Oreochromis niloticus: one gene and its partners. The protein of the gene in region 2 purifies or fractionates together with the protein of the main gene of each other region. This does not show direct contact. Links are inferred from orthologs where the notes say so. Each region holds a gene or a part of one and is shown on either strand. Other genes may lie near its edges. The genes, in order: fgfr3, hsp90ab1, hif1aa and grb2b.

Region 1 (7,036 bases), on a different chromosome or scaffold from region 2:
ATTTTCTTAAAGCGTGGCAGGGAAACACAACTACGGCAATGAATAATGCATGAGCATTAATCATGCAGGACTATCTTCACATTGTAATAGCTCAGGGGCGGAAAAGCGCTTCAACCCGGGTTCAAATCCCTGTCATCCCTCTATCCTCAGTGAGGAGCGACGCGAGGAAGTCACATGCTAGTCACACCTCCATGGAGTGTCAGCAATCTTTAATAATTAAGTCGGATAATCAGCTTTGTGTTCTTGGGGGGGAAAAAAGGACATTAGAGGGTTTTTTTGGAGAGTGGAGCCAAGTGGAGGTTAGATGGGTAATAAAGAGACACACAAGTGGGTCATCTTCCTTTTCAGCACGCCTTTCTCTACTCCAACTTTTTTCCTTTGCAGTGCAATGCATGTCTCACACCCACCATCTCCCTTCTGCCTGTCCCTTCGCGACTTCTTGCCTGCCTTCATAGCTGAGCCACCCTCTCTTCAGAGCGCTCGCTCGAACGAGCCCTCAGGTGAGAAGAGATATTGATCAGCTGAGAGGCAGAGGAGAGCTCGGCACTTCAGAGCTGTCAGAGGTTCAGGGGTGACTCTGGGCTCAGCTCACCTTGGGCTGACACTCAGACGGGCGGCGTCTCGTCTGAGACTCAGCCTGCACATGGAAAAAGATCCGAACGCCAGGGTTTTGTCCTCTGTGTTAAAGCAGAAGATACAGATGGACAGCGAAGTCCCTTTTGAAATTATAAAGACTACATGAAGTGCTGCTAGCAGACACTGGGGGACATTAAAATGTTATAAATCGTACTAAGGTTGGTATAAACTCAGCTTTTACTGCCTCAGACATGTGAGAATCCTAATTACAGGGGAACAGAAAGACTAGAAGTCCTTACATATATAGGCACAAATTTTATATCAGAGGTATAGTGTAAAGCTCAGATAAGGTCACATAAGTTTATTTTCTTTGAATAGCTGGAATATGAAAGCAAATAAGTGTTTGTGCATGAAAGTAATGATCATTTTTCTCTGTCAAATTAGACAAGCTGAAGCAGATTAATGAACCCTTCTCTTTATGAACGAGAAGGAAAACGTAAAGGCACTAAAACAGGAGCAGAGCGATGGTCTCGGGCCAATTTCACTAATGAAAAGAGGCAATCAGAGTCTCATTTGGAACCGAAAGTGTCTGAGGCTCGCCTCTGATTGAAAAAGCTGCACACTGGCACGCATTATTTCTCGGGTCAATAGATACAATTAATTTGGAGCATTAGCACAACTATTATCGGTCGCACGCTTGTTTATGACAGCAATTTTTTTTTTTTTTTTTAATAAGCTAAAGCAACAGAGCCCAAATCTCATTTTCAGCGTCTCTCTCGCAGGACGCTATAATCTGCTAATTTTCTTCGGGTTGGGAGTTGACATGGTGGGAGTCAAAGCCGAGCTGAGTGGCCAAAAAGGAGGAGAAGAAGAAGAAGAAAATCACCATCTGAATCCCATTGATGCGCATGTGTTTGAAGAGGGGATGAGTGATCTGCTGCTGAGGGGAGAGAACCGCGCACAGTTCATTCACTGAGAGGGAGAGGAGGGGGGACAATCCGCCGCTTTCTAACTTCAGAGATGATCAGAGGATTTGAGGGAGTGCGGCTCTGTGAAAGAGATGTGCAATTCATATTTCAGCGCCAAACCTGAGAAGACGTCAGTACTGCGGTGAGGAGAAACGGCGTGCCCATCCTAACGAGCACGGGGATGGCTGGATTTTTTATTCATTTATTTATTTAAAAAAAACAACAACAACATAAAACCAGGACAGGTTCGATTCATTCTGAATGAAGAGCGAGCTCACCTCAAACGAAATCTGGCAGGTATCACCACAAACCCCCCCCCTTGTGCGTGATTTAATTTGGCCTCTTTCTTTCTAAAACACTCAGTTTCACAGTTTCCTTCATTCGTGGATTTTTCTGTAAATATTGAAAAACTGGAAAGGATGAAGGGAATGACTTTGGATGTGGAGAGAACGCTTTAGCGCAAATTACTTTTTTCCCCTCACTGAAAAATCAACCAAACTCAATCAACTGCTGGAAAAAGCATACACGTTTCCCAACCCAAATATGTTTTACAGTATTTTTTCCACTTGTTTTTTTCTTACAGCGTGCGTAATTTCAGCAACACACACAAACCTTTACAAGCCATAACAGAAACCGCTTTGCGCTCCTGCTCCAAACCCGTGGCAATAGATTTGCGCACTGACTGTTGATTTTCTCCAAGTCTGCTGACACCGGCCAGGACGCGCCAATTGCGCACGAACAGGGACCTCCACGCCACCTGTGCTGTGGCACAGCCGCGGGGCTGCTCCACAACTCACACAGTGTACACAGTCCTCAAAGCTCCAACCTGTCCGCATCTACAAGGAAGTGAAGCTGTGAGACTTGTGTGTCTGAGTCTGCGTAACCTGCTTGTAAATAATAATAATAATAATAATAATAATAATAATAATAATAACAATGTTTATAATATTTACCCACAGTATCCCGTTTTGACAGAAAAGATCAGCCTTCAGATTTTAGATGGCACCAAGCTTTCCTTGGTTGAAACAACCTCTAATCTCCGGTAAACTTCACAAAAAACCCACAAAACTACTTTTAAATCCTCACGTTCCAGCGCTTGGAGAGCAGTTTGGCGACAGCGGAAAAAAAAGAGTCACAAATCCCCCCCTCACGACTTGAAGGCGAGTGTCTTCGACTCGGGCACAGCCACCGAGAAAAGCCAACTTCTCTCCACTAAATCCCGTCCTCCGCCGCGCGCTGCTGTCCGCGTTGTCCAAAGTGTCCAGTCCTCCAAAGTCCGTTCATCCTGTCCTGCGAGTGGGCAGAGTGGACGAGGCAGACGGGGACGCGGGATGCGCGGTTCCTTTGCGTCTCCTCCGGCGCAGATGCCAGTTTCGGTGCGTTTCGTCGCTTCTGATCAACCAACGTAGAGTGGTGGCTCTTCTCCTCTCGCTGTCTGTGAAGTAGGAGTTGCAAGGTGCTGCCGTCAAGCGTGCACGGCTGGGAAACACGAGGAGTTCCAGGTCCACTTTCAAAATAAAATCCTTGGCTCGGATCCGATGACGCATGCTTTGCTCGGAGGCACTCATTCAATTATGAAAATGCAGGAAAGGTAAGAAAAAAAAAGCACTCGCCAGCCTATGAGCAATCTTCAAAGGAGCTCTGAGATGCAGCAATGGTTATATCGTACCGTTTCATGCGCTTCAGTACTTGTGTGTACTTAAATAAGAGTCTTTATTATTTATTGTTTTTTAAACGTATTTTTTCCTAATTGCTCAAATCCTGTCATCTCACCGTCTCTTTGGGTTGTTAAGTTGTGAATCAGTGTGTTTGATGAAAATCTGAATGCATTCTTCAATAAATAAATATGTAAATTACAATTTAAAATGTGTTAAAATGATATACCAACAGAGCCAGCTGAGGAGATAAATAAGTGAAACACAGCTAGCTGCCGTTAGCAGCAAACCGGCACTCAATTAAATCAGCCTGGCGGACTCAATTGAGTCATCAAAAAGAGTCCTATTCAATAAGGAGACTACACATTAGGCCTTTATTTTGAAGGCGGAACCATCGTGTGTACCATTGTGTGACGCTCATCTCTCCTCTTGAGTCCACGATGCCTCCCTCTGCCAGCCTGCGCGCCGCTGGGACAAACAGCAGCAGCGGGGGAAGGGCGATCAGATTTCGGCGCGCCGCCCCTCCGGGGTCCGCTAGAGGCAGCCGGTGATGGATGGTCCAAGCGCCTCCCATCTCTTTCTTTCAAACTTGAGAATCCTGAGCTGCTTTATGAGCCCCGAATTTTTTGTCTGACCCTCAGCGTGGGTACAGAGGCACCAGTAGATGGCTCTGAGATGTAATGAAGACAAGCGTGCTGTATGGAAATGAATACAGTGTCCGCAGACTTTTAGTTATCTATAAGAGTGAGGGGGATCTCAACCAGTTCCTTTCACTGAAAAAAGTTATACCAGAAAAACGTTTTTGGATCAGAAGTTTGTTGAATTTATATTTTGTCCATCTGAAGTCCTGAATATAGCAAATATGAGAAAACCCCCACTGTAAAACATTTTTAACTTATTTACCATTTATTTTTTAAAAAGGTGGGAAACGAAATAAAACACACTCTCGTAAAACACCCACCTTTGTGAGCTTCTGGTGTAGCCAGTGTTCAAAAAGCTCCTAAGTAATACTGATGGCTGCCATCACTCCTTTTGCTCGTCTCCCTGACTGTTCTCTATGATTCTCAATATCAAAGAATGTTGCAGCCAGTGGTTTTCGGGGTGCATGGTGCATACAGCGTAGCTCTGCGTAAACACCATTAAAGCTGAGGGATACATGCCAAAAGCAATGCATTTTCAGTAAGCTTTGCTGATCTGAGCCAGGCAGTGTCCCAATTATCCTGAAGTCTGGTGGTGGCATAAGCTTAAACATTTTTGAGAATTTAAAAGAAGTTTCACAAAGTATGTGAAACCAGAGACACTGTTATCAAGTAGTGTAATTAAACTCTTTGTCTTGCATCTGCTGATTCAAAATGTACCACCTCTATTTTCCACTGTTAAACATTATTAAATATGTATTTTTCCCTTAAGTAGGTTTATTGCTGTCTAATAATTACAGCTTACTGTTCTGGACTCTGTGGAAACTGTAAGTCATGCAATAATCTGTCAGAACTGTCATTCAAGATTGAGACCAGCCAATGCAAATGTTTGACCAGTCAGACCCCAAAGTGTGCTGAGTGAAGAGCAAATTACCATTAACCACCCATTTAATCTGCCATATACCGCAGCCTTTGGCTAATTACTGCAGTCAGGACAGAGGCGATAGCACCCGACTCTGCGTCAAACAACACACCAATTACCGACATCTCTTAAACTGTGTTTTGAGAAGGCAACTTTATGACACCATAAAGCGCAGCAGACCTCTGCTAAGTGGCTGCGAGGAAGGTTGAGAGTGTGCCACTATTTGTTCAGCAGAGGTGGGCTCCTCTGCAGTGATTTGTGACAATATGTGTCAGACGTGCACAAACTGACATGCATGTGAGAATGAATAAAGGTTTTTAGACATGGATCTAAATTACATGTATGATAAAGATGTTTGGGCGCTTCAATATTTGCTCATTGGTGTAAATAAATACAAGAATTTAGCTTTATTTTGTATTTTTCTACATACATCATGCATACAGGTGATACTGTACCCGTGCCCGACCTCATGGGAAAGTCAAATGGTGAAAGAACAAAGAGGTCCTCATTAATGTTGGTGAAGACGAAGAGTGCAGACTAATGATGAAGGTCAGTCCCGGTGACCCTTCGTACTACAGTGTTCTGTGAGAAACGCCGGTGGGAGGGAGGCAAGCTCGGGAACAAAAGCCAGTCGGTCGGGAGGAGAGGTCATACAGATGGTGAGAATGCTCAGTCAGACAGCTCAAGTACTGATGGGCAAACTGACCAAATGACCTCTTCGTGCACACACACACACACACACACACACACAAACAAAACTCCTCCCAGCTCCCCCACGACACTCTAACTTCTAATGAACTCACACAAACATATGTATTCACACACATAATACACCCCCTCCACCCAAACACACACACATACAGACACTTACAGCCCCCCCCACCCCTCGAGGGAATAGATCAGCAGGAGATGAAAGGTGAGGCCTTTTCATTTGAAATGGAGTTAAAAATTAAACAACAACAACAACGCTGAGTCCTTAGAGTTTAACTTGATTATCCAAAGACTGGCATGCCCAGAAGAAACTGACAGCCTTAATAAATTCTGTGTTTTTCTCTTTTTTTCTTTTTCACCCATTACATTTTTCAGCTTATCACGGCACATATTTTCACTGATAACCCCGAGTAGCCGGCAGCGCTGATTGTTTTCTCTTTGGGCCTCGTCGCAGCACACTGCCTGTGTGGGCAACAACCAATTGACTCGCACTGGCTTTGTCTGTAAGAGGTGCACAAAAGCAGCAGGGCTAATCATTAACACCGGAGTTTCGGGCCAGACAAAGATGCAGCACAATGGGAGGGAGTCGATCGCCGAGGTCACTTCGCACTCCGCTCGGCGGTGCTTTCTTGGTCCTGCACATACGCTGGTGACCAACTGCTGTCGTCACACGCTAACATACTGTATATCAGTGGATCTCAACAAGGGGGTTGTGACCACTCCAGCGAGACACTATATGACTCACAGGGGCTGTGAGATGAATGATGAGATTGGAAACAAGAAAAAACGGTTTTATTCTGAGAGAAAAGGTTCCCAGACACAAAGCATGTGAAACCAGAGACAAGCGCGCCCAAGTAGGCGCAATCCAAAAAGGTCAATTATCTGGAAGCGAGGTTATACAGTAAAACAAACTGGCTTCTAATTTTATTTACATTTTATACACAGCCCCGACTGTTGGATATCTGTTTGACTTGTTGGAACTTGTAGCTTTCACTTCGGTTTTATCACTAGCTGCAAACCGTGCCAAGTTTTTTGAGGCCATTTATGTGTATTGAAAACAGTGGTGCTATGCTGCTAACATGACAGCTTGTCATCAGGCTCTGCTTCCTCAGATCTCAGTGCAAACAGGACAGCTTGCAGCAAAATCACATGTCGGTGCATTTACATCATTTACATTAGTTCAAGAAGTATGGGTGACTATTACTCCAGGCTAATAAAACAAACAGGTTTGCCACGTTCACGATAAGCACAGCCTATTTGCTATTTACCATAATCAGTGCAACCAATGGGGCTTTGCCATGGTTTAGTTTCACCTGCAACAATATAATACTAATACTATCTAAAAAATAGATCTAATTATTTTAGATCACAAAATAATTTTGGGCATTGGTAGTATGGCGTTTTTTCCCAGCATCTTTTAGAGCAAGCTTATTGGCAATCGAGTGGTTGTGCGACCAAACCCAAGAACACAGGGAAACAGTCGATGCGAGTGCATGCGTGCAGCGACTCCCTTGTAACCACAAATTGCGATGGGCGCCCACACCTCAAAGCGAAATGAGGCTGACA
Region 2 (6,844 bases):
CTCCTTGTACTCACAGAAACCAAAAGCTGGAACAAATATTGACATATAAATAGACATAAGGGCATGATCAAATGTTTATGTTTATAGACTGAATTAATGGTTTGCCATGTATCTAGTTATTCTTCATCTTTTAATACCCATATACTGACTAAATAATACCCACTTTGGATTATTAGAAATTACCTTGAAGCTTGCCAGAGGCTCCTTGTACTCTCTTCCAGCTCAAAAACAATTCCACATTTCTATAGAATTACAAAGAAAAAAAATAAAGTTGTCAAATTAAGAGGGTGTCTGCCTTTGCTGGTGTATTTCTACAAGTAGAATGTGTGTTCCCCTCTTACCGCCAGCAGCTGTCTGATCAACATGTCTGAAGCCTTTTCTGATATGTTCCCTACAAACACCGTTGTGGTGGGGCCACTGTTCTCATCACTGTCTTTGGCATTCACAGCAATGGTTTCCCTCTTAGGGACTGCAGGCTTGCTGAGCACTGGTACTGAAGGAACCATTACTGCAGGTGTGGGGGCCATGATACCCATGTGAACTGGGATCATAGGGGCTCCTGAAACAGCCAAAGAAAACATGCAACAAGCAATTACACCATTTTCACTTAAGATCTATGACTGCAGATTAGTAAAACGATTCTCAAATATTTTCAGTAATGTAGCGAATCTCAACTACCTTCAGTGTTGCGAATATGCCTCTTAATAATGACATTGTGGCAAAACTGAAACAAAACAGGTGAACGCCAATCAGAAGGGTGCTTACCTGGGGGAAAGCCTGTGTACTGAGGAGGGATGCCTGGAGGAGGCAACAGCGGCCGATTTAAATGAGGGGGGAAGGACATTGTGGAAGTGAAGTGGACCGACCTGAAGAAGGAACCAAGATACCCGTTATCAGCAGCACCAGATGTGTAATTAAATCAAGTCCTCTAAACAATGTAAAATAAAACAAAGAGCCAAACTTTTAAAACGATTAGTTTAAATCAACAACACTATAAGAGAAAGCACAACGATGTTTATTGGTATCTAGTCATATGAATGTAAAGTACCCGTCGGTGACTTCTGCTGCCCAGCAGCAACAATACTTAAACTTAGCTTAGCTCAATGGGATGGCGTTCGCAGGGTGACTATTATAAAGTCCCAGGACCCACGTATTGTTATTGTGTTACAACGAGTTAATTTGCTCACTGTTTATGCGGCCAAAAAACTAGCAGCTTAGTTAGCTAAAGCTAGCACCGAGCACGCTCCAGTGTCCCCGGCATAGACTTAAGCTAAGCTAATATTAGCGCAACCTGGCGTTACTTAACAAACAACACTCAACTATTAGCGGGCAAAGTTAAAGTTCAAGATAAATCTACACATGCCCAGGTATACATACCTTTAATCAGGTGGTGTTTAAAAGAATAAAAATACTCTCAGAAGGTTAGTAATTATGAAAATTCCTCTAACGTTCCAAATGTTGGATTAGCACGTTGGCTAGTCGGGCCTTCAAAAAAAAAAAAAAAACATTTGACGCAAGCGCTTTACGCGCAACACTACATGAGCGCTGGCTTTGTACACCAAGACCTGACCACTGGACGGAGTTTACTAACGATACTAGTAGCTACTGCGGCAATAACTGTACTACTATTATTACTAGAGTCGTTAGAGTATAGTTTTATACTAGTATTGTAATATTAACATCAATAAGAAAAATCACTACTCTTATTATTATTAATATTTACATAGCATTCCTAAAGGTCGTCTAGAAGGTTAATGAAACATAAGGTTAGGGAGCGTTTGTCGATGTTGAAGGTTTGCTGGGTTAAAAATGGATTTCAACACTATAATACAACTCCTGCACTTGTATGTACTACTTTGGGGAAATTTTAAGACATCGTCAATTTAGATTTTTATTTTTATTGAATTACATTAATATGTAATTCAAAGACGTAGTCTATTATTTGTGCATAGGAGTTCCTCCATAATGTCTTTTACGAATAAAATAATAATTTTGACATCCGACAGAATAAATATCTGAAGATCAATTATTTATTTATTGCATAAGCAGCGTTTTGTTTTTGATGGGTTTTTTGTTTGTTTGTCTTGTTTTGTATTTTGTCGGTGCCTCTCGGAGACAGCGGCTGTTACGTGAAGACTGCGACTGACATCGCGTGACGTCACTTTAGGCGGGATTTTCATGGAAAGTGCTAGAAGAAACGAAGCACACCCTGCATGTTTTTGAATATTCCTCCATCAGATTAAAAAGATCTAAAGTCTTTGTTGGTCTGTCGGAAAATTAACGGTATACTCGTGAGTTTTATTGACTTTATTTGTTAGACTGATTTAAATTATGCTTTGATAGCATATCGCGGCAGCTCTGGAAACTAGTATAAAATAGATCGATTCGGACAATACTTTCGTTTTTGGTTTTAACGGCCACAAGATGGCAGCAATGATGCGCTTGTCTCAGAAATAAAACTGTAATACTGTGTTTTCCAGGAGATTAGTATAAAGTAGTATAAAGTGTTTTTGAATTCACTTTACTAATTAATCTTGAAAAAGTCCCCTTGTTTTTGTATACCTAATATAATGGCTTTAAATCTCCAGAGATTTGTTTTCTTTAGTACACATTACACTTCAATCCACTGAATTAATACCTGCTAAAATGTCTTAATAATATCATATTTATTTATTTAGTTATGGTATTTCCTCAAGTCTTCATTCAAACTCATCACATGGTGAATGTAGCCTTAAAACATTAACTGTAATTCACTTGGTGCACTTCTCCTTACTAGATGGCGCACCGCGGATGGATACGACTGCACAGTGAAGCACGTGTATAAAGATACCGGTCTATTAAAAGGAGGTCCCTTTCCATTTCTCTGCGTCAGACAGCGTAAGGGATAGCGATTTGGTTGCATTTTATTCAAGAAAAGTCAACGAAATTAACAAGGTATGTAGACGAGCGGTTTCTTGTTGGTTACTACGTGCTTTAGCCTTTGATATTTGACCTTTTATTAAACAGTCATTATACAGTACAGCTCGTATTCTCACGAGTTACGGTTGTAACCTTAAGTAACTTTGGTCAGGTACAGCTAACATATCACAGTAGTATTCAGAATTTTGGTTTTTAATTACTGTGGAGTAAGAAATGTTTGCACTTGTCACGTAGACGTCGAGCGGTGTAAATGCTGCACTCTGCCGCACTGCCCCAGCCGTGTGTAGTACCAAGGCAGGTGTGGCGAACATGACAGCGCTGTATCGGTTCATAAATTGTACGACTGGTCCACATTAACAGAATTAATCCTTTTAAATCTTTATAAGAGTAACGTGAACTGGCTTGAGTCGATTTCGCTTAGTCCCCGTGTTCACGTAGCTGTCGCGTGTCTATAAAACGCACGAGTTAGTCTCTCAAGTTGCCAATGCTTTCAGATTTATGCTCGTCTTAAGTGAGTGGTGTTTTTAGCTCTTATTTATTCGAATTGGTGGCAGAGCCGTTTTATATGACAGTCACGTTTGCTGTCGTTAATACACGGCTTTAAGTTGCTCTTCTGGGTGAACCTATTTTGCCGCATTGCATAAGCTTTTTTTCGTTATTTTCATCGGTAGCTTTTCCTTAGCACGTGTTTGCGGGGTCCATTGTCTGTCGCTCGACGCCATGTTGGTTAACGGCCACTTCCGCAACATGACGGCAGTTATCCATATTATGTAACCGACTTCTGACAGGATCAAACGGTGATACAGTTTGCGAAACTGAAAGTAGTTGAATATATGTAGTTTAACCGGATCCCATAATTAGCCTTATCCTGTTTTTATCGAAATCCACCCATTTTATTAAAGCATACACAAACTGTTTTAATGCAGATGCCTGAAGAAATGCACCAAGAAGAGGAGGCTGAGACCTTTGCCTTCCAGGCTGAGATCGCTCAGCTGATGTCGCTGATCATCAACACCTTTTATTCCAACAAAGAGATCTTTCTCAGGGAGTTGATTTCCAACGCTTCTGATGTAAGTTAGCAGGAGCAGAGCTTTTCATTCAGCACTGATGCATTTATTTTTAGCCATTTTTTTGTGTTTCTAAATGCTTAAAAGAATGTTAGTTTTAATCCTGTTGTTTAAACATTTGCAGGCTCTGGACAAAATCCGCTATGAAAGCCTGACTGATCCCTCCAAGCTCGACAGTGGCAAGGATCTGAAAATTGACATCATTCCCAATAAGGCTGAACGCACCCTGACCTTGGTCGATACTGGAATCGGTATGACCAAAGCCGACCTCATTAACAACCTGGGTACCATTGCAAAGTCTGGTACCAAGGCCTTCATGGAGGCCCTGCAGGTATGAAGGGAATGCATCTCAGTATGGAACCGTAGGGACGCTTTATAAGAGGAAAGCATTTTCCATGTTCACAATTAAGCTGAAATCTAACATTAGAACTCACTGTGTTCCTCTAGGCTGGTGCTGACATCTCCATGATTGGTCAGTTTGGTGTGGGTTTTTACTCTGCCTACCTTGTTGCTGAGAAAGTGGTTGTCATCACAAAGCACAATGATGATGAGCAGTATGCCTGGGAGTCCTCTGCTGGAGGTTCTTTCACAGTCAAGGTTGACAACAGTAAGTGTATTGATGTTACAATATCAGAACTAAACCCGTTTTTAAATATTGTGGGTACATCTAAGGATGTCCCTGATTTCTCATGAATTGGAAGCAGTTCTTACTATTAATGGTCTTGATGTTGTTAATTGTGTATTGGTTTTCATGTGTCTGAGGTTACGATGTAGCTTTAAAGTATTAAGAGAGTTGTTTTCAATCTTGGCGTTAAAGTTGGCATCGTCTAGCAAAGTGCGCTCCTTTAGAGGCTTAAATATGGATTTGAAGTATCTAAAAATTGAATCTTGACTCCATGGACACTTTAGTACAAAATGTCCTAAAAGCATCACAACTGTTCACAGGTGAGCCCATTGGCCGTGGAACAAAGATCATCCTGTACCTGAAGGAGGATCAGACAGAGTACGTCGAGGAGAAGAGGGTCAAGGAGATCGTGAAGAAGCACTCTCAGTTCATTGGCTACCCAATCACCCTCTTTGTAAGTGACTCTTATAGAGGACGTTGTTAGTATACCATTAAAGAACGGCAAAGTAAAAATCAAAGTAATGTGAATCTGCAGGTGGAGAAGGAGCGCGACAAGGAGGTCAGTGACGACGAGGCAGAGGAGGAAAAGGCAGAAAAGGAGGAGAAAGAGGAAGGTGAGGACAAGCCAAAGATCGAGGATGTTGGCTCAGATGATGAGGAGGACTCCAAAGACAAGGACAAGAAGAAGAAAAAGAAGATCAAGGAGAAGTACATCGACCAGGAGGAGCTGAACAAGACCAAGCCCATCTGGACCAGGAATCCTGACGACATCACAAACGAAGAGTACGGCGAGTTCTACAAGAGTCTGACCAACGACTGGGAGGATCACCTGGCTGTTAAGGTAAGCAGGTTAACCTGAACAGCTCTTCCAGGTTTTAATTGGCCTACTGGGTTTTTAACGTAGTCATAAACTACAAATAAAGCTAAACGGAGTCATTTTCCTCTACAGCACTTCTCAGTGGAAGGCCAGCTGGAGTTCCGTGCCTTGCTCTTTATCCCCCGCCGCGCACCTTTTGACCTCTTTGAGAACAAGAAAAAGAAGAATAACATCAAGCTCTACGTCAGGAGAGTCTTCATCATGGACAACTGTGAAGAGCTCATCCCCGAGTATCTGAGTAAGATGACTTGCTTTTTACCTTTAGTCTGAAAGTACTTTAATTTACAGCTTAGCACACAGTAAGGAATTGCTTAAAGGCAAAGGCTTAGTGTAGCATTTATGTTATTCCAGACTTTATCCGTGGTGTTGTGGACTCCGAGGACCTGCCCCTGAACATCTCCAGAGAAATGCTGCAGCAGAGCAAGATCCTGAAGGTCATTCGTAAAAACATTGTCAAGAAATGTCTTGAGCTTTTTGCTGAACTGGGTGAGGATAAAGAAAACTACAAGAAGTTCTACGAAGCCTTCTCAAAGAACCTCAAGGTATTTATAATATTCTGGCTACTTTTCTTTTTTTTGTGTCTTTAGGAAAGTTGGCTCTTAAAATTCTCTTCATTTCATGTCAGTGCATCTTCTTGGACCTCAAAGGTTTACCTCTTTATTCTTTAATCTGGTTTGTAAAGCCCTCTTCAAAGTAGTGTAGACTTTTTTGTGTGTGTGTGTGTGTGTAATAACCAGATCTTTAAAACCCAGAAGAATAGCTGTTTTGGCATTTATGTAATCCCATGCAGTCAAATCTGCATTAGGAATAGAAACTTCCCACATTTAGGCTGTAGACTGAAAACATGTTAATTAAAAGCCTAAAGTGACAAACTATGTAGCAGAATTCATGCAGTGTGCAATGTCAGTGTGATTAGAATAGTGACATTGCTGGCAGTCCATCCCACCTGACCATACACAGGTGGGATTGACTTTTTATTTGAATCCATTAACCCTACTGGTGTATGAGATTGTTTTTGGATAAGATGATAAATCTTATTTGTTCACTTGTAGCTGGGTGTGCACGAGGACTCGCAAAACCGCAAGAAGCTGTCTGAGCTGCTGCGTTACCACAGCTCCCAGTCCGGTGACGAGACCACCTCCCTCTCGGAGTACGTGACCCGCATGAAGGAAAACCAGAAATCCATCTATTACATTACTGGTGAGTAAAATAAACCTTAAGTAGCTTCTGAAATGGTAGAAGAGAACTGCATTTACACAAGTATTAAAAATGAAGTTTTATTCAAACTTTATCGCTTTTTTGTCATTTGTAGGTGAGAGCAAGGATCAGGTGGCCAACTCTGCCTTTGTTGAACGT
Region 3 (7,938 bases), on a different chromosome or scaffold from region 2:
ATGGATAGAGATCCATTGTTTATACAACAGTTCACAACACAACCCCAGCAGGGGCTTTCCTCTACTTTTCTGTAAAGTGCTTTTTTTGCTTTAAGAAAATCAGTCATCACAATTAAAGCTTTGAGGGCCTGAAGTGAATGTTTATTCAAATGTTGGATAAATGTGAGCCTTCAGCACACATTTTTTGACTTATTTGGAAAAACCAAAACAAAAAAGTCCATAAAAAACAAAAACAAACACACCCCCTATGCTTCATATTATCAAGTAACCCAATTTCTCTTTCAAGTTCAGACTAGCCTGCTACTTGAATCCCTCAAGGGAACCAGGAAATTACAAGCTAGCGAATTGTTACACACACACACACACACACACACACACACACAGACATTTGGCCACTCCTATTGACGTCAAGCCCTAGTGATTAAGAGATGAGACAGAAGTAATACTACAAAGGCACCTCACAGACACCAGCCAGATCTGCATCAAACCAGACTGCACACTGGAATTTTTTTTCAACACATTTTAATCTACATGTCAGCCTTTCACCTAAACTCCAAATTAGGTGACAATAAACAAAGCCCCTGAATGCAATCTACACTAAAATATGGTGACTGCCTGGAAATGGAGTATTCATTTGTTAAAAATATCTACAGGGTGACCAGTGTCACAGTTACTTTCCTTATGTAACTACGCAGGTAACAGATAAACACAACAGTCATGATAAGATCTCAACAACAGCCCGGTGCACCTTTTAGGATGTTCAATTAAACCAGTTTGCACCCATGTTGAGTTGCCAATGTTTCAAAAATGTCGTTCTGACAAATGTTTCACCAACCGTTTTTAGAGATCCTCCCACCATATTTTGCATCATTACACATAACAAGTTTTCCTTAAAGACAACTGCATATACACATGGCAAGCTTTTCTGAAAACAGTGTTATTCTTACTATTTTGCCATCAGCCTACCTGCAGGTTGTTTTCACTTTCATGACTTTCACCATCTTATGACCACCTTTTTTGGTGTTTTTTTGTGTTTTTAATCTGAGGATTCACTCTGTTCATCAGACTATTTTTTGGTCTCGTGACTGCTGTTACCATTATAACCATCTTTTATCCTCTGTTTGTTTTGTAGTCTAATCTAAGCTTTATACACAGAAGCATAATCTCATCACCTGTCTGCCTATTTTAGAACATCCAAGAATGACAGAAAGGCCCAGATGAATAATCCGCTTGCTGCAGAGTGGAGGCAAGTTATCCTCTTCTACAGTCAATACTAATAACCACTTTTTCACTCAAGCACAGCAATAAAACCCATGAAAATCTGCTACATATTGCAGTAGTCTTGCTGGATTAATCCCTGTGCAGTTGAGTTGTATTACAGTTGTACACATTTTATTTGTTGTGGGAAAGTAATGGTTACAGTGGCTAAATGTTAAGGATTTCCTACATTTAATAATAAAGGTTCTAGCCACCAGACCTGTGACAGAAATGTGTTAACCACTTTTAAGTAAGGTTTACTTAAAAATAATACCAACCTTAAATATTAGGTGTTATTATTTTATTTTGACTGATTGTTTGTTTTTGTATGCACTGACTTCTGAAAAGTAAGGTGACAGACTGTTTAATAATGTGCTTCTCACCCAGAAAGGCCCGTTTGGGGCTGGAAAATCCTCGTTTTCCATCACACACACCTTTGGGCTCTGATAACTTGTAATAGCCATACTTATTTGTTTTTTTGTATTTTACCTAAACATTAATGAATTAGTTATTTTTTAAGATACAACTCAACTTATTTATGTCAAAATGGTTTATCAACTTTCTCTTGTTCTAGCACACAGACCTCCAAATGAAGACTTATTATCAATTGGGCTTCTGTAAAAATAAAAGTTACTAGCCACTAACATGATATTATGGCACTCTGATGATTATTAAAGTTGATCACTCTGGTGGGGGTGGTGGATTTTGTGCAATTGATATTGCTCAGTATTGAGGGGGTACAGTATATTCTACAAGGCTTTCCAAAATAAGATAATTATGCCTTCTTCTGGTTTTATAGTTAACCACAAATCCATACGCAGAAATCTCATACCAAGGCCTGCTCCCAAAAAAAGCCTCAACGTTACAGCAGAAACCGCACACCACACTGATCACATGAGCGCTGGCAGCCTTTCACTGAAGTGTCAAGGTTGGCACCTAAAGTCCAAACAGTACACCACCAGTGATACACTATTAATAAGCTATATAATAAGCAAAGTGTCACACTCAAAACAAATGTAAATAACGCTCATGTTGCATGCAGGAAGTCTTAACAATGGTCACAAACAAAAACGTTGCTGGCTAAGTAGCACTTACTTAACGTAACGTAAGTAAGTAAAAAAATACTAAGTCTAGATTGATGTAAAGGGTAGTGACCAGTTGATGCTGTTTACCTGTTAACTCAACATTTTTTGACAAAGTTTTTATTAGGTTGACCTACATTTTGCAGGCTAGCGGCGTTAGCCGCTTGCTAACAGCGCCGCTAGCCGACACATTTTGACGAAACACACCAAACTAGCCTTTAACCTTGAAAAAAAGGCCACAGTGTCGCAGGTCTCACAATAACCAAACGCTAAATAGAGACACATATTTTCCAGTTATGCTTAAAAACTGGGCCCATACGTAGCATTAGCCGGCACTGCTCTTACCTTTTCTTTTCGGGTACAGTTCCTGTGTCCATTTCAGGACGAAAAGACCTGTGTGGAGTCTCTCTATCGGTATAGAGCTGTGTTCGGGCCCGTCGAGAAATGAACCAAAATCCCACGATTTTCTACCGATATCAGTCCGTAAATCCTCAAGTGGATTGCATAAGAGTCCTCTCTTTGTGGATTTAGTTCAACAAATCAAACTCTCGACCGCTAAAAGCAGATCCTCCGTCGACTTTGCTTCTGAAATATTGCCACGCTGGAGAGACGTTCAATTGCCGAGACAATGTTGCTTCAGAGTAGAGGTGTTCACTCCTCCTCCGTTCCGGGGACGCGCAGTCACACGCTTCTTTTTTTTTTTTCATCGAGGACGCGCACAGGAAATCGTCCCACCGACAAACGACAGATTGCTGTAATGTTAAAGAAGAGCCTACAACAGCGAGACAAACAGCGTCTGTTAATAGCTAAATATCACTCTGCGGTAAATAAACACATGTAATAAAATAAAACAGCACTGTTTTAAATGGTGTTAAATGTAGAGTTCTTTACAAAAGCTGTTCATAAACAGTCATAGTGAGTTATACCACAAATAGTGTCACAGCATTGTATTTAAGCCTAAACAATAATATTATTATGCAACAGTATTTTTATATGCAGTTACATTTCATTAAAGGCTTTTTAGCACCCAACAAAGGACTGACATTAACAAAAATCATCAGTGTTGTAACATTTTTTTTGTTTTATAATATTCGAGTTTCTTTATTCAAACAAAAAACTGATCAGAATCACTGCTTTATTGTGCGTTGATAATAAGTTTACTGTCGTGTCGCCCCTTGAGTCTGAGCCAGGAAAAATTCTGAAATGTTATTAGACTTTATAAGTTAAAAAGTTCAAGGGCAGATGAGGATTTCTTTGGTCCTGGAGGCGGGCTTGGTAAATTTCCTCCACTGCTCTGGATATTTCTGTCCAATCAGACTTCTCCTCCTTCACCACTGTGGAATTCATTTTATAATAATTATCGAAATCTGTGATTCAGTTTTACTTTGGAAAAGAAAAATGACAGTAAAAGAAAAGCAAAAGGGGGAAACTATGTATGAAAAAACGTTTTGGTTAACTGTAAATAACTGGACTGAAAAATAACTAAAATAATATTGTGTACTTAGAAAAGCTAACATAACAATATAATAATATCCATTATTACACAACATAATAATGCAACATAATATAATGCACACCAAATGGCTTTCACTTTAGTCTTTTCACATTGCTACAACACTGTATGTACCAATAAAATACAAATATATTTACTGAGTCTGTATTTTTTACTTTATGGCTTGTTAGTTACCTCAATTACCACAATGTGTTATGATCCTTTTGTAGCACAGTACAGTGTAAAAGCCTTGAGTCATCTCTCATGTCTTTATATTTTGTTTCCAAGGAGACAGACTTTCTTGTAAATTTTAATGTGGTCTTGAGCAATAGCTCTCCAGGCTTTGTGAAGGTCTTTCCAAGGTTCTCTTTGGACATTGGCTGCTTTTTTTACTCATTGACAATCCAATTCCTATACCTGACCGAATTGTTTTCAAATTTCAAATTTTTATATTGTTTTGTTACTATCAGCCTGTAACAAAAACATGTTTTTTAGTTATATTTAAAGATTGAGCTGTTAAAAATGCCAAAAATAACGCAGTTTGATGGGCACCAAAGCGGTGATTTCCAAAGAACTATTTGCTGAAAACTTGGTATATCATAGCAACAATATCTGAAAGTCGTGTCTTTAAGAAATAGGAAAAATTCAGCAAAGACCTGACACAGGACCTACAGAGGATTATCTGACTCCTCAGTTGAGTCATGTACTGTTCACTGAAGCCTCATCAGAAATGGTCTCAGTGGAAGGGTAGCTATCAAGAAGCCATTGTTAAGGAAGAGAAATAGGGAGAAAACGCTGAGATGTGCCAAATTACATCAGTTGTAACAGGTTGTATGCAATGATGAATTGAAGATTAACATTTTTGGTCCAAAAACCAACATTTTTGGTTCAAATGATCATTAGTTTGTACGGAGAAGGTCAGGAGAGATCTACAACAGTGAGTGTCTGCATCCATCTTTTTGAACAGTCCTCTATACCAACGGTTCACTCCTAAGATTGTGTTTAACAAATACTATCCATATTATAATAAATAATAATAAAACACATATAATGAAAATGGTAGATATTTTTAAAAATAAAAACTCAGCTGAAACCAGAAAAATCACCTCTGAAAATAACTTAAATTACAGCAAAAACTAACTAAACTAAACTAATGAACTCGCAGACTAACGATTCTGTTCTCAACCTCTAAATCACAGAAAAAGTTAGTCGCAGGTTAGTTTATTCTTTCCTGTGTTGCCTTACATGTTGATAGTTGCATCTGGTCACGATAGTTAGACAAAGCCTTTGCTGTCACTTCTCGTTAGATGAAGGGTGTGTGGCACAACGCCCCTGAATTGAACTTTATCTTGACGGTTCATATTGATTTCATCGAACAAACCTGGGAGGGTTACATTTTTATTTATTACACAAGGCAAAAAAGGCAAAAAAAAGGCAAAAGTGTGGAAATTGAAGTTAAATCCTGATAAAATCCTTTATTACTAGACCTAGAAACTAGAGAGACCTGAGGAAATTAGTTAAAAGTAATGCGTGCATGTCCACATAGGATTAATTGTGTGTGTGTGTGTGTTTTATATGCCTATTGCGTCTTTTAGATGTAAATCAGATGGATTTTTTTTATAACATAGCTGTGCAATATGTGCTTCGGCAACACTAACCGAGCTTACAGGTTTATTTTGCCTAACTCGTAATGCTGCTATTCGATTTGAAAGTCAACAATGACCTTTCACTTTAAAATTCACTTAGCTGTTGGAGATCCTGCTTACTTATCTCCACACTGTAATTAACATTATGATATCGGGAAGTTGAGAGGTGGTGTTAGCCACACCTTTTTTGTTGTACACTTGAGCATAAAATGTGCCAACAAACAATGCAAGATTAGCCTTTCGTAATGCGTTTAGTGCGAGCAACAAAACTAAGACATTTATATAAGAATGCATTAAGGAAATACTGCTGTGTGATAACAGCATTAACACAGCTCTGAAAGAGAAATGTTGAAATGCAAAAGGAAGATTGCATTGTCATTGTTATAAAAGACACCATCTGATAAGAAGCAGTTTCCTGAACAGATGTCTGAATGACTTTAAGTAAATTCTAAGAGTTTATGAGTCATGATCTTATATTAACTATAGGTCAGAGTGAATATGAGGCCATTTCCTATTCATTTACTGACAAAAATGAAGCTACTGATTTATAGATTTCTATAGGGAATTACTTATGTGACGTCTGTGCAGAGAGACTTTTTTTCCATTATCGGTCGCTGCTTTGGGGGGTTACCAATCAAACGCACAGGACAGCAGGGTCAAACACTTATTCAATCAGTCATTGCAGAGACACTGCTGGCAGCTATCAGGAAGTCTCAGTAATGAACGCTGAAGGAAAGCTCGTAAATCTCTCCTTCACTGAGACACTACCGGGGGAAAGCTGCCAAACTGAGGCACAACAAAGGATAAACAAAAAGCAAAGTTTTTTAATCCACTGTCCTATGCTTTATATAGCACATCTCGACCATCGTTGTTAGGGAAAGCTTAATGTAGATTAGTGGGCTGCTGTAAAGTCCACATCAAGGCTCTTCTAAATAATGAGTGATCAGAGGCTTAACAGGGGTTTGAACCGCAACAGGAAGAGATTTGTGACACACCACTGGCTCAAATGTATAGACAAGCAACAAGTTGTGCTGGACCAGGAAAGTTTTCAGTGCAGTTTAGTAGCTAAAACGCCATCATTTTACCAAAAGATCTTCCTGCATTTGGTGTTTTAGTGATGGTGGTGGAGAGTGGGGCAGAATTGTCACCATAGCTATTTCTTTGGGTTGAGATGGGTTGCTATGGAGGCCATACTCATGTAAGCCTCCAGTCCCTCATCATGCCACACGGATGGAGCTATTTTCATCATGCACAACTACTCCAATATGTTTCATCAAAGGGTAGAGGTAATCACTCATAGAAATTTGTTTTCATTTCATGGTGTTGCTTCCCTCAGAGGGGGGAACTGGACTGAAACCGCATCACCATAGCAGGTTCAAGCAGGTTCCTTAGCTCAAAAGGTTTGTTCTGTGCTCGGAAAGCATAGGAGGCTTCATTTTGAGGCATTTCCGAGTATTAAGCTGCTAATGTGCAGTATTTAGAGACAGAATCTTCCACAGGACACCCAGCTGAAGAGATAAACAGATGTCGAGACCCAAACTTCCTCATTCAAACTAACAGGAAGACTGTGCAAGTTCCGGAGGAAAGAGATTCATCTCAACACAAGGTTTTCTTTTCTTTTTTGTCATTTTGTTTAAGTTTTTGCTTTTATTTCCAACATCATGCAGTATACAATACTGCATTTATATATGAACTCAATGTCACCCCCCTGAAAAATAAGCATCACTTATTGTTTCTTCCTTTTTCTAGCAGAGGCGACAGTAGTGACGCTGTGTGGTTTCCTGTTTATTCTCTGCTGGTTTGACAAAATACACCGCTGAAGGCCCTCCACTAGATGCACTGCACAGAACTGCAGGGTTTAACTTTCAAGACTTTTGTGTTTTTCTTATATTTTTTATGGATAAGAATAAACAAACAAAGAACAAAAACAAAACTTGAATTCACTTAACCAAGCAGGTCTGCAGAAAGTGCTGGAAGCTTTCAAAGACTCTGGCAGTTAAACAATATACTAAGAGTGTTGTGAAATCTACAGACTTTTCAGTATTTCACAGTTACCATGAATCATCGAGCTGCTTTCACCTCACATGAAATCTTGCATCATCGTCTACATGCCTGGCAGAGCAATTTACATGGAGAATCACTGCGACGGATGCCAAGTTTTTCTTACTGGGTGCGGGCCACAAATAAAAAACACACATACTCTATTATTGGGAATTGAGTTCAGTGAAATTCGATCCTTTAACCCAATTTCAACCGTTATCTCTTTTCGAAACCGATATACTGACGATATTCAGGCTTCAGGTGATTTTAACCCTTTATTTAACAGTGGACGGAGCAGCTCACTATTTTGAGTTTCTGTGTGAATTTGTGTTTTTTCCAGAGTGGAGACGCATCACTCAGAAACTATTCCAACTGTGCATGAAATCATTCCAGGATTTGTGTAACTTTTCTGGGAATCTCC
Region 4 (7,137 bases), on a different chromosome or scaffold from region 2:
AAAAAGGAAGAAGAAAAAACAAAACCCCCCCCAAATAAAATGTTGCCGTATGTGTTCGATTTTTCTAAGTGTCTTTTATAGAAGTACATGACGTTCCCAGTCACTAATGCATGTATTTAATGTTTAATTATGTAAATTGAAAGAAAAAATAAAAAAAGACATTTCCTACTAATTTCTTGGATGGAACTCAGCCATCTGGTGAAAAGCTTGACAAGACAGCCAGCAGTAGAAATTAGTGAAAAAGTTCAGTAATTCCTCGTCTCATATGCAAATTTAATAGAATTTATATTTAGCTCAGTGTTTCCTAATCCGACTTTCTCTCTCCCTCTAGGCCTCCCCCCTCCTGCTGTGATAAGAAGTCTTTTCAAGACTCTCTGCTCAAATCTCTTTTTCAGGGAAAACAGCACCCATTCCCCTGACAGAACCGTCAACTCGTCCGCCAAAGCTGACTGCAAAGTAAAACTAAATGATAAAAAAAACAAAATAAAAAAAAAACCTCAAACAAAAACAACCCCCCCAACCCCCAAAAGTAAACTACAAAATTTGGCATGTTGCATGTTATTGCCCCTAATTTCCATCCACCTATATCACAAAGCAAAGCAGACCTTGCCCATAAAAGCAATTTACTGTGATGAGGAAGACTTGACCACAGGTTTATATTACTAGTCCATAAAAGAAACCTTTACAGCTTTCATCTCTTATTGTGACTTCTCAAAAGTCACATTGATGATGTCTATTTACAATAATTGTCTCTTTGTTGGCGTTTTCTCTACCATTAGAGGGCTCTAACCTTACAATATAAAGTGCCTTAAAGCAACTGTTGTTGTGATTTGGTGCAACAGAAGTAAATTTAATTGAATAATTCATGATTTTAAAAATAGCAGAAACATTTAAGCATAAAGGTTATGCCATCAAATGTAATTACCAAGCATATAATCACATGATAGTGGTGAACTTTGGATATTGAGCTACATCCCAAACTACCTGATGTGTTAGATTTTGTTTCCTTCTATAATAGCCCACTACTGCCTAGATTTAACTTTAATGGCACTTTTACTCAACAGTGCCAGTAATGGATAAAAACAAAACCTTAGGGCAAGAATACGCCTTCCAAAGTTTCATAATTATGAGCAAAACAGACAAATTTGAACATTTAATGCTCAAATACTTGTCACTTACCTTGAGGACATCTCCACGCTTGAAACTAAGCTCATCATCAGCAGTAGCTTTGAAATCGTATTTGGCAATGGCCTCCATGGTCCTTATAGCGTGCTGTAAAACTGCTTATCTGCAGCCGTTTCAGTGACTGAAGAGGGGGAAAAAAAACTAAAAACACGTATCCAGGCTTCTGTGATCAAATGCTTTCTCTGCGTCTCTCCTCCCGTCAATGACCCGTTCCCTTAGGTTTGAGACCTCACATAAAGGTGGCAGAAAGGTACCTGCAAAACAAACAAACCAAAAAACCTAACGTGAAAAACTAAAACTGTAGACAGGCAAATGTTAAACCAAGAAGCAAAATTAAAATTGTCTGTTTTGCATTTTTAGTCTTTAAATTTTCACTAAAAATGCATACTGGCCATACGATTCAACTTTATCCCCTTTGACCTCTGAACAGCCTCTAAAATACAGCACAATTTCATGACCAGTGGCAAACCTCTAACCAGAAATTATCAGAGGATAAGGGAACAAAGTTCACTCCATCGAGTGTCAATTTCAACAGCCCATCCAGACAGCCAACCACCTGGCCCGATCAAAGATAAGACGGTGGTTACTTAAGCAGAGATGACAGTGATACGCTGGCTAAACCTACCTACGGCTATTTAGTTAAACAGATAAAGTTACGCTATCCAATTAAGTTGCTGCTAATATGCTACCGTACAGCCCTGATGGGCTTTCGCTAATACAACCGTGCGTCTAATAAGGCCTTTAAACCTGACAGCCCACCAGATGACCACAGAGAAACACCAAACGGATGAAAAATCCTTTTTTCCTCTTTTGAAAATCTGCATTTCCTTTTCATTTCTGAGAACCTAATTGTTAGGCAATAACAAACGACACACGACATATTTTTCTAGAGAAAACGAATTGCCGTCACCGACTCGTCAAGTCCAAAACGTTACTACATTCGCTTTCGTTTGTGTCTTTTTACAATAACAAAACGCCAAACAACTCATTTGCCAGTCAGCGTTACTGAAAACAAAAGAACAAAAGGGCTCGTCGCTGTCAGAGGTGGCATTAGGCTTAGTATTAAAAAGGGAAGCTTGAAGTCCAAAGGCAGATATAAACTGTAGCTAACCTTAAACATGACAACCTTCTCACACGCACATATTAGTGTGAAAATTATGTGGAATTTTTTCATTTCAAAAAGGGCATGAAGAGCAACAGAGCATGGTTTTATACAGCTTTTTGCTTTTTTTTTAGTCGGGCTCGAGTGAATCGATTCCGTTCCAGCCAACAGACTGCGCCCACTGTTCTAGAACGCTACAGCTAGCATGCCGGCTAACGGTCGGACAACAATAACTGCGATGCAGTATGGTTATCAAACCCGAACCTCAATTCTTCCACACCGGACCATCTGACATCGACATCAATTAAAGCTGGTGGCTGGTCTGAAATAAGTGTGGGGTGTTTCTTAGCACCCGAGGCCTAGTTGCTAGTTTCACGCTAGCAAATGTGAAAAGGAAGAAAACAGCTTTTTTTTTTTTTTTTTTTTTTTTTTTTTTTAAACATAGCGCAAGCTGTTATTGCTACTGCTAGCCCAGCTAACGTTACTGAACTTCACTAAAACAGCGTTAGCAAATAAAACAGTACACAACTTTTGTGCCGACACAACGAGTACTGAAAACTCACCACTTTAGATATTCCGTTTCGATAGTGCCACTGTATAAAAAACCAGCAAAACTCTGTCGTGTAATTATCCACTCCCTGCTTCCTCTAGAGGCAACCAGCAAGGTACGTGTGGTGTCGCTTACACCCGTCCTAGAAGCCTAAAAAACTAGCCACTAGCATAAGGTTTATGACGCTCATTTCCGCTTCCTTCCAAAGAACTGGGAGGATCTGCCTCCGTGTAAGTAAGCTCCTCCCTGCTAGTCTTTTTCAGTGTTAAGGAAAATTACTTTTCACAGAGACATATTAGTTGTTAAGATTCACTCACTCTAAATCGTTCAGTTTCTTTTTTTAATCAACAGCTAAATACCATCTATTTATACCACGTGACTAAGGCACTGAGATCAATTTAGCCAAGATAACTTTTAAATAATCTGGCTTAACTAAACCTAACGTCAGCAATTACACCATCTGATCACGTGAAAACGGCACTCTGAAAGGTTATCCAAGAGGCAGTGACACCACAGCATGGTCAGAACCAAACTGCTTTCATAATCCTCAAAAGAAGAACAAACTATAACATGGAGAGAAAAAGAGGAAATAAAATATGTAATCCGAGCTGAAAGAAAGAAACTCAGCTGCAACCAAAGGAAGGAAAGCTGGCAAAAGATGACAACTGTGCAAGCCAGTACTATCACTAACATCACTACCTGTGAACAGATCAGACTTAATGGATTTAGCCGCTGCTACTGAAAGAAAAGCTATAGGAAATGTGAGTAAACTTGTCCACAAGTAATCCATCTGACTACCTGATAGCCAGGCTGCAGTTTGTGAGATTAGGCAGGGCTTTGTCTGATTTGGTGAAGGTATAGTAGCTCTACAGGAGAGTCTGCTGTCCCCATTTCTGTGTAGTTTGTACACAGACGTTCAGTACAACTGCAGGTCATGGCACTTATAGAAATAATCTGATGACAATAATCTGATTCTGGTTGGGTGTATTAGTGATGGGCAGGCGGAAGAGGAGTATAGAGTACTATAGGATGATATGAAGTGGTAGTAAGTGGTAATAAGACCAGACAGGTGATCGACTTCAGAAAGAAGAGGATGGTTACATGAATGTTGATGTGGTGGAGGACTAAAAGTACCTGGGCATCCACATTGACAACAGACTAAATAGGAAGATGAAACAAAGAAGCCGTATAAAAGAAGAGGATGAGATGGCTCTTTCCCGAAGAAGCTGAAATCCTTCAGTGTATGCAGCAAAAACGATGACCACCTTCTCTAACACTGATTCAGCTCCACTGCCACATGCTATCACAATATATCTGACAGAGAGGCACCTGCCAGATAATATTATCACCATCATTAATATATTATTATTCATCATTTCAGTTGTGTAACAAAAGAATACTCCCAAAATCGGATAAAGATTTATCATCATCATCATCATGTCGTGTGCACAATATGTTTATCCGTATTCTTTCAGCTAAAATCCTGTGGTGTCTAATGGTCGTGAGATGCCAAAAAAAATCATAATTGTGGTGAATAGAAGGCATATAAGGTCAACGAGCCTGCAATACTTTAGGACTCTCATGTAGAGTTGAAATGGCTATAAAGGGCTTGGAGGAAGCAAAAAAATAAAACAAGTGATAAAGTCCCTTATTATTGATCCTAATGGAAAGCTAGAAATTTGAGACCATCTCATTGACAACTCATTGATCTGTGGGCTCTTCTGGGAATAACTACAGTGTTTTCAGAGAGACCTGATTGGTCAGTAGGCTTTGGATTTGTAAGTGTTGATCTGTTATCTTGAAAATAACCTGCTCCAATGAGTGAATAACCTTTATGGCCCTGAAAACTTGTGATGTTGTCTCATTTAGGCCCCGATCCTTTTCTAAAGCACAGGTCTTGAGTCTCTCTTTCAGTCACAGGCAAGCTGCAGGATGGCTATGCATTAATTCATTCACAGACTCTTATTGAGTTTTTCAGCTGTGTGTCCTGACTTAACTTTGTAGGTTGGTCATCTTCTAGTTTACTTTAAACCCCCTAACCGAATGTCAACACCATAGCTGACAAGACAAAAGGACCGCCAAATATGTAAAGGGAGAGAAGTGAACATGACCAGTTCATTGTAAACTAAACATTTACCAACGCCACACCCTAGTTCATTCCCTTGTCTGCAGTCGGCCACAAAACTGTCACCCATATCTATCATTATCCTACAAACTACAATTAACTACTATGACTGTTAACTATAGTCACATACATAACACATTTCTCACTTAGATGCATTTATGTCCATCTGATTTAGTCTGAAATGGGAAATGAAGGACACAGATTCATCCATTTTAGCCGCAGTGTAATTAATTAGACAAAACACAGTTGGACTATTCTACTACTATAGAATAGAACAGAATAGAATAGAATAGCCCTTTATTGTCATTGTCCATGTACAACGAAATTGTGGGTGCTCCAAACCAACTGTGCCCCAATAGCTAAAAGGAGAAATATATACACTCAATATTTATATATACAAAAACAAGAGAAAGGGACACATTAGAGAACGCAGGAATGCAACTTTCTCAATATTATGTTCAAGGATCCATATGGCTTCTCATAAAGGCCATCTCATAAAGCTTTACTTAGCTAACTGCTGGAATATTTGGTCTTCTGTTTTCCTGTTTTCATTTCTTGCACATCTGCTTTTAATCCTGGCCTGTGACAGCAGGCTTTGACAATGCTGCCACCTAGTGGGACTAAACAAAAATCGGTTCTTTCTGTCTTTAACCACGTAAGGGTTGCTACCAGAAATACTTAGTCACATGTTAATACCGCACAGTTGAGATAAGAAATGCGCGTATCTTTTCCAAATATTACACAGCAAACAATATGGAGAGTGACACTGTTCAGTTAGACAATTAATTAGACTGTTTATAACTGATAACCTATCGTGTGACCTCCATCATAACGGCATTGTGAATGATAAAGCTATGTGGTCGGACGGCTAACGCTTTTTAAAAGAAAATAAGGTGGAATGAAGCGAGGAAATCGCCCATTAGGTATTCACTCAAGAATGACTTCCAGTATTACTCACACTGGCGGCGGAGAGTATAGCTCACAGCTGTTCAGTGGGTGACGACACAAAATTAGAAATAAGAATGATGATTTTTGAGCGTCTCCGAGTTGCGGAGTACTTTATCTCGCTGTTGCCAAATATCAGACTCAGAGCTGAAGCGAGCGCGCGCATTTTATTTGTCGCGTGCCCTGCTGAAGTGTCTTGGACAACAAAAACATGCGCGCGCGGCTGAACCTCTGCTATCAAAGCCATAAAGCAACAGTGTAAGCTGTATTTTTGTATGTATATGTATATTTAAAATATGCATTTTTTCTCAAGCTCATCTGTCTTCTTTGCCTTAAACTGATATATAAGTTATTTTAGAGTATATTCGTATTATTCTTCGAGGTTGGATGGAGGACTACATTATGAATTCATCTTCTTCATACCTCAGCTCACCTGACAATCTGGAAAAAGGTAGGATTTTCTTCTTCTCGTTTTTCTGTTGAATTGGGCACATGCATGCAGATTTATCATCATAGATTGAATATTATGTTGTTCATTTTCATGTAAAAAGTAGTTATTGAGACTTTGAAAACAAATGAATGAAAAAAAAGTTATAAGGAAAGAAAGCTGATGGAGAACATTATGTTTTTTCCCTTCTACCAGATCATGAGCAGTACAACAATGTGCTCATGCCCAGCATCTTTGGTGTTATTTGTTTCTTTGGGATCACTGGGAACTGCATTCTCATTTACACCATTGTGAAAAAGACCAAGTTCTGCTGTCATCCATCAGTGCCAGACATATTTATCTTCAGCTTGTCCATCGCAGACCTCCTCTTTCTCCTTGGCATGCCTTTTCTCATTCACCAGCTCGTGGGCAATGGCTCCTGGTGCTTCGGTGGCACCATGTGCACCGTCATCACGGCGCTTGATTCCAACAGCCAGATCGTCAGCACGTACATCCTGACTGTCATGACACTGGACCGCTACTTGGCAACAGTCCACCCCATCCGCTTCAAACACGTTCGAACCCCCTTCGTGGCAGGGGCGGCAGTGGCGCTGGTGTGGGTGTTTTCTCTGGTCTCCATCACTCCTGTCTGGATGTACACTGGACTCATGCGTCTCAAGGACGGCTCGGTCGGCTGCGCCCTCCTGCTCCCAAACCCGGCCACAGATACATACTGGTTCACCCTGTACCAGTTCTTCTTGGGCTTTGCTCTCCCTTTAGTGGTCATCTGCAGTGTCTTCTTC

Evidence for each region.
Region 1: the proteins of hsp90ab1 (region 2) and fgfr3 purify together in Homo sapiens (affinity purification with mass spectrometry; 3 studies listed by BioGRID and IntAct, with this or other methods). This does not show direct contact. The link is inferred for Oreochromis niloticus from reciprocal best matches to the Homo sapiens genes HSP90AB1 and FGFR3.
Region 3: the proteins of hsp90ab1 (region 2) and hif1aa purify together in Homo sapiens (affinity purification with western blotting; 3 studies listed by BioGRID). This does not show direct contact. The link is inferred for Oreochromis niloticus from reciprocal best matches to the Homo sapiens genes HSP90AB1 and HIF1A.
Region 4: the proteins of hsp90ab1 (region 2) and grb2b purify together in Homo sapiens (affinity purification with mass spectrometry; 3 studies listed by BioGRID and IntAct, with this or other methods). This does not show direct contact. The link is inferred for Oreochromis niloticus from reciprocal best matches to the Homo sapiens genes HSP90AB1 and GRB2.

What each region holds. Positions count from the first base shown.
Region 1 is NC_031983.2:7,173,662-7,180,697, forward strand, and holds the start of fgfr3 (fibroblast growth factor receptor 3), read right to left. Parts: upstream 3,006-7,036; 5' UTR 2,498-3,005; intron 2,381-2,497; exon of another isoform or gene 2,157-2,380; intron 1-2,156.
Region 2 is NC_031980.2:14,202,386-14,209,229, reverse strand, and holds the start of hsp90ab1 (heat shock protein HSP 90-beta), read left to right. Parts: upstream 1-3,839; coding exon 3,840-3,989; intron 3,990-4,110; coding exon 4,111-4,317; intron 4,318-4,433; coding exon 4,434-4,593; intron 4,594-4,931; coding exon 4,932-5,065; intron 5,066-5,146; coding exon 5,147-5,452; intron 5,453-5,560; coding exon 5,561-5,726; intron 5,727-5,839; coding exon 5,840-6,030; intron 6,031-6,540; coding exon 6,541-6,688; intron 6,689-6,800; coding exon 6,801-6,844. UniProt on the Homo sapiens protein: Molecular chaperone that promotes the maturation, structural maintenance and proper regulation of specific target proteins involved for instance in cell cycle control and signal transduction. Undergoes a functional cycle linked to its ATPase activity.
Region 3 is NC_031983.2:11,962,816-11,970,753, reverse strand, and holds the start of hif1aa (hypoxia inducible factor 1 subunit alpha a), read right to left. Parts: upstream 3,013-7,938; 5' UTR 2,717-3,012; coding exon 2,685-2,716; intron 1-2,684.
Region 4 is NC_031969.2:8,811,532-8,818,668, reverse strand, and holds the start of grb2b (growth factor receptor-bound protein 2b), read right to left. Parts: upstream 3,023-7,137; 5' UTR 2,851-3,022; intron 1,440-2,850; 5' UTR 1,258-1,439; coding exon 1,180-1,257; intron 1-1,179. Other genes in the region: mchr1b (melanin-concentrating hormone receptor 1), read left to right, coding at 6,295-6,358, 6,551-7,137. UniProt on the Homo sapiens protein: Non-enzymatic adapter protein that plays a pivotal role in precisely regulated signaling cascades from cell surface receptors to cellular responses, including signaling transduction and gene expression.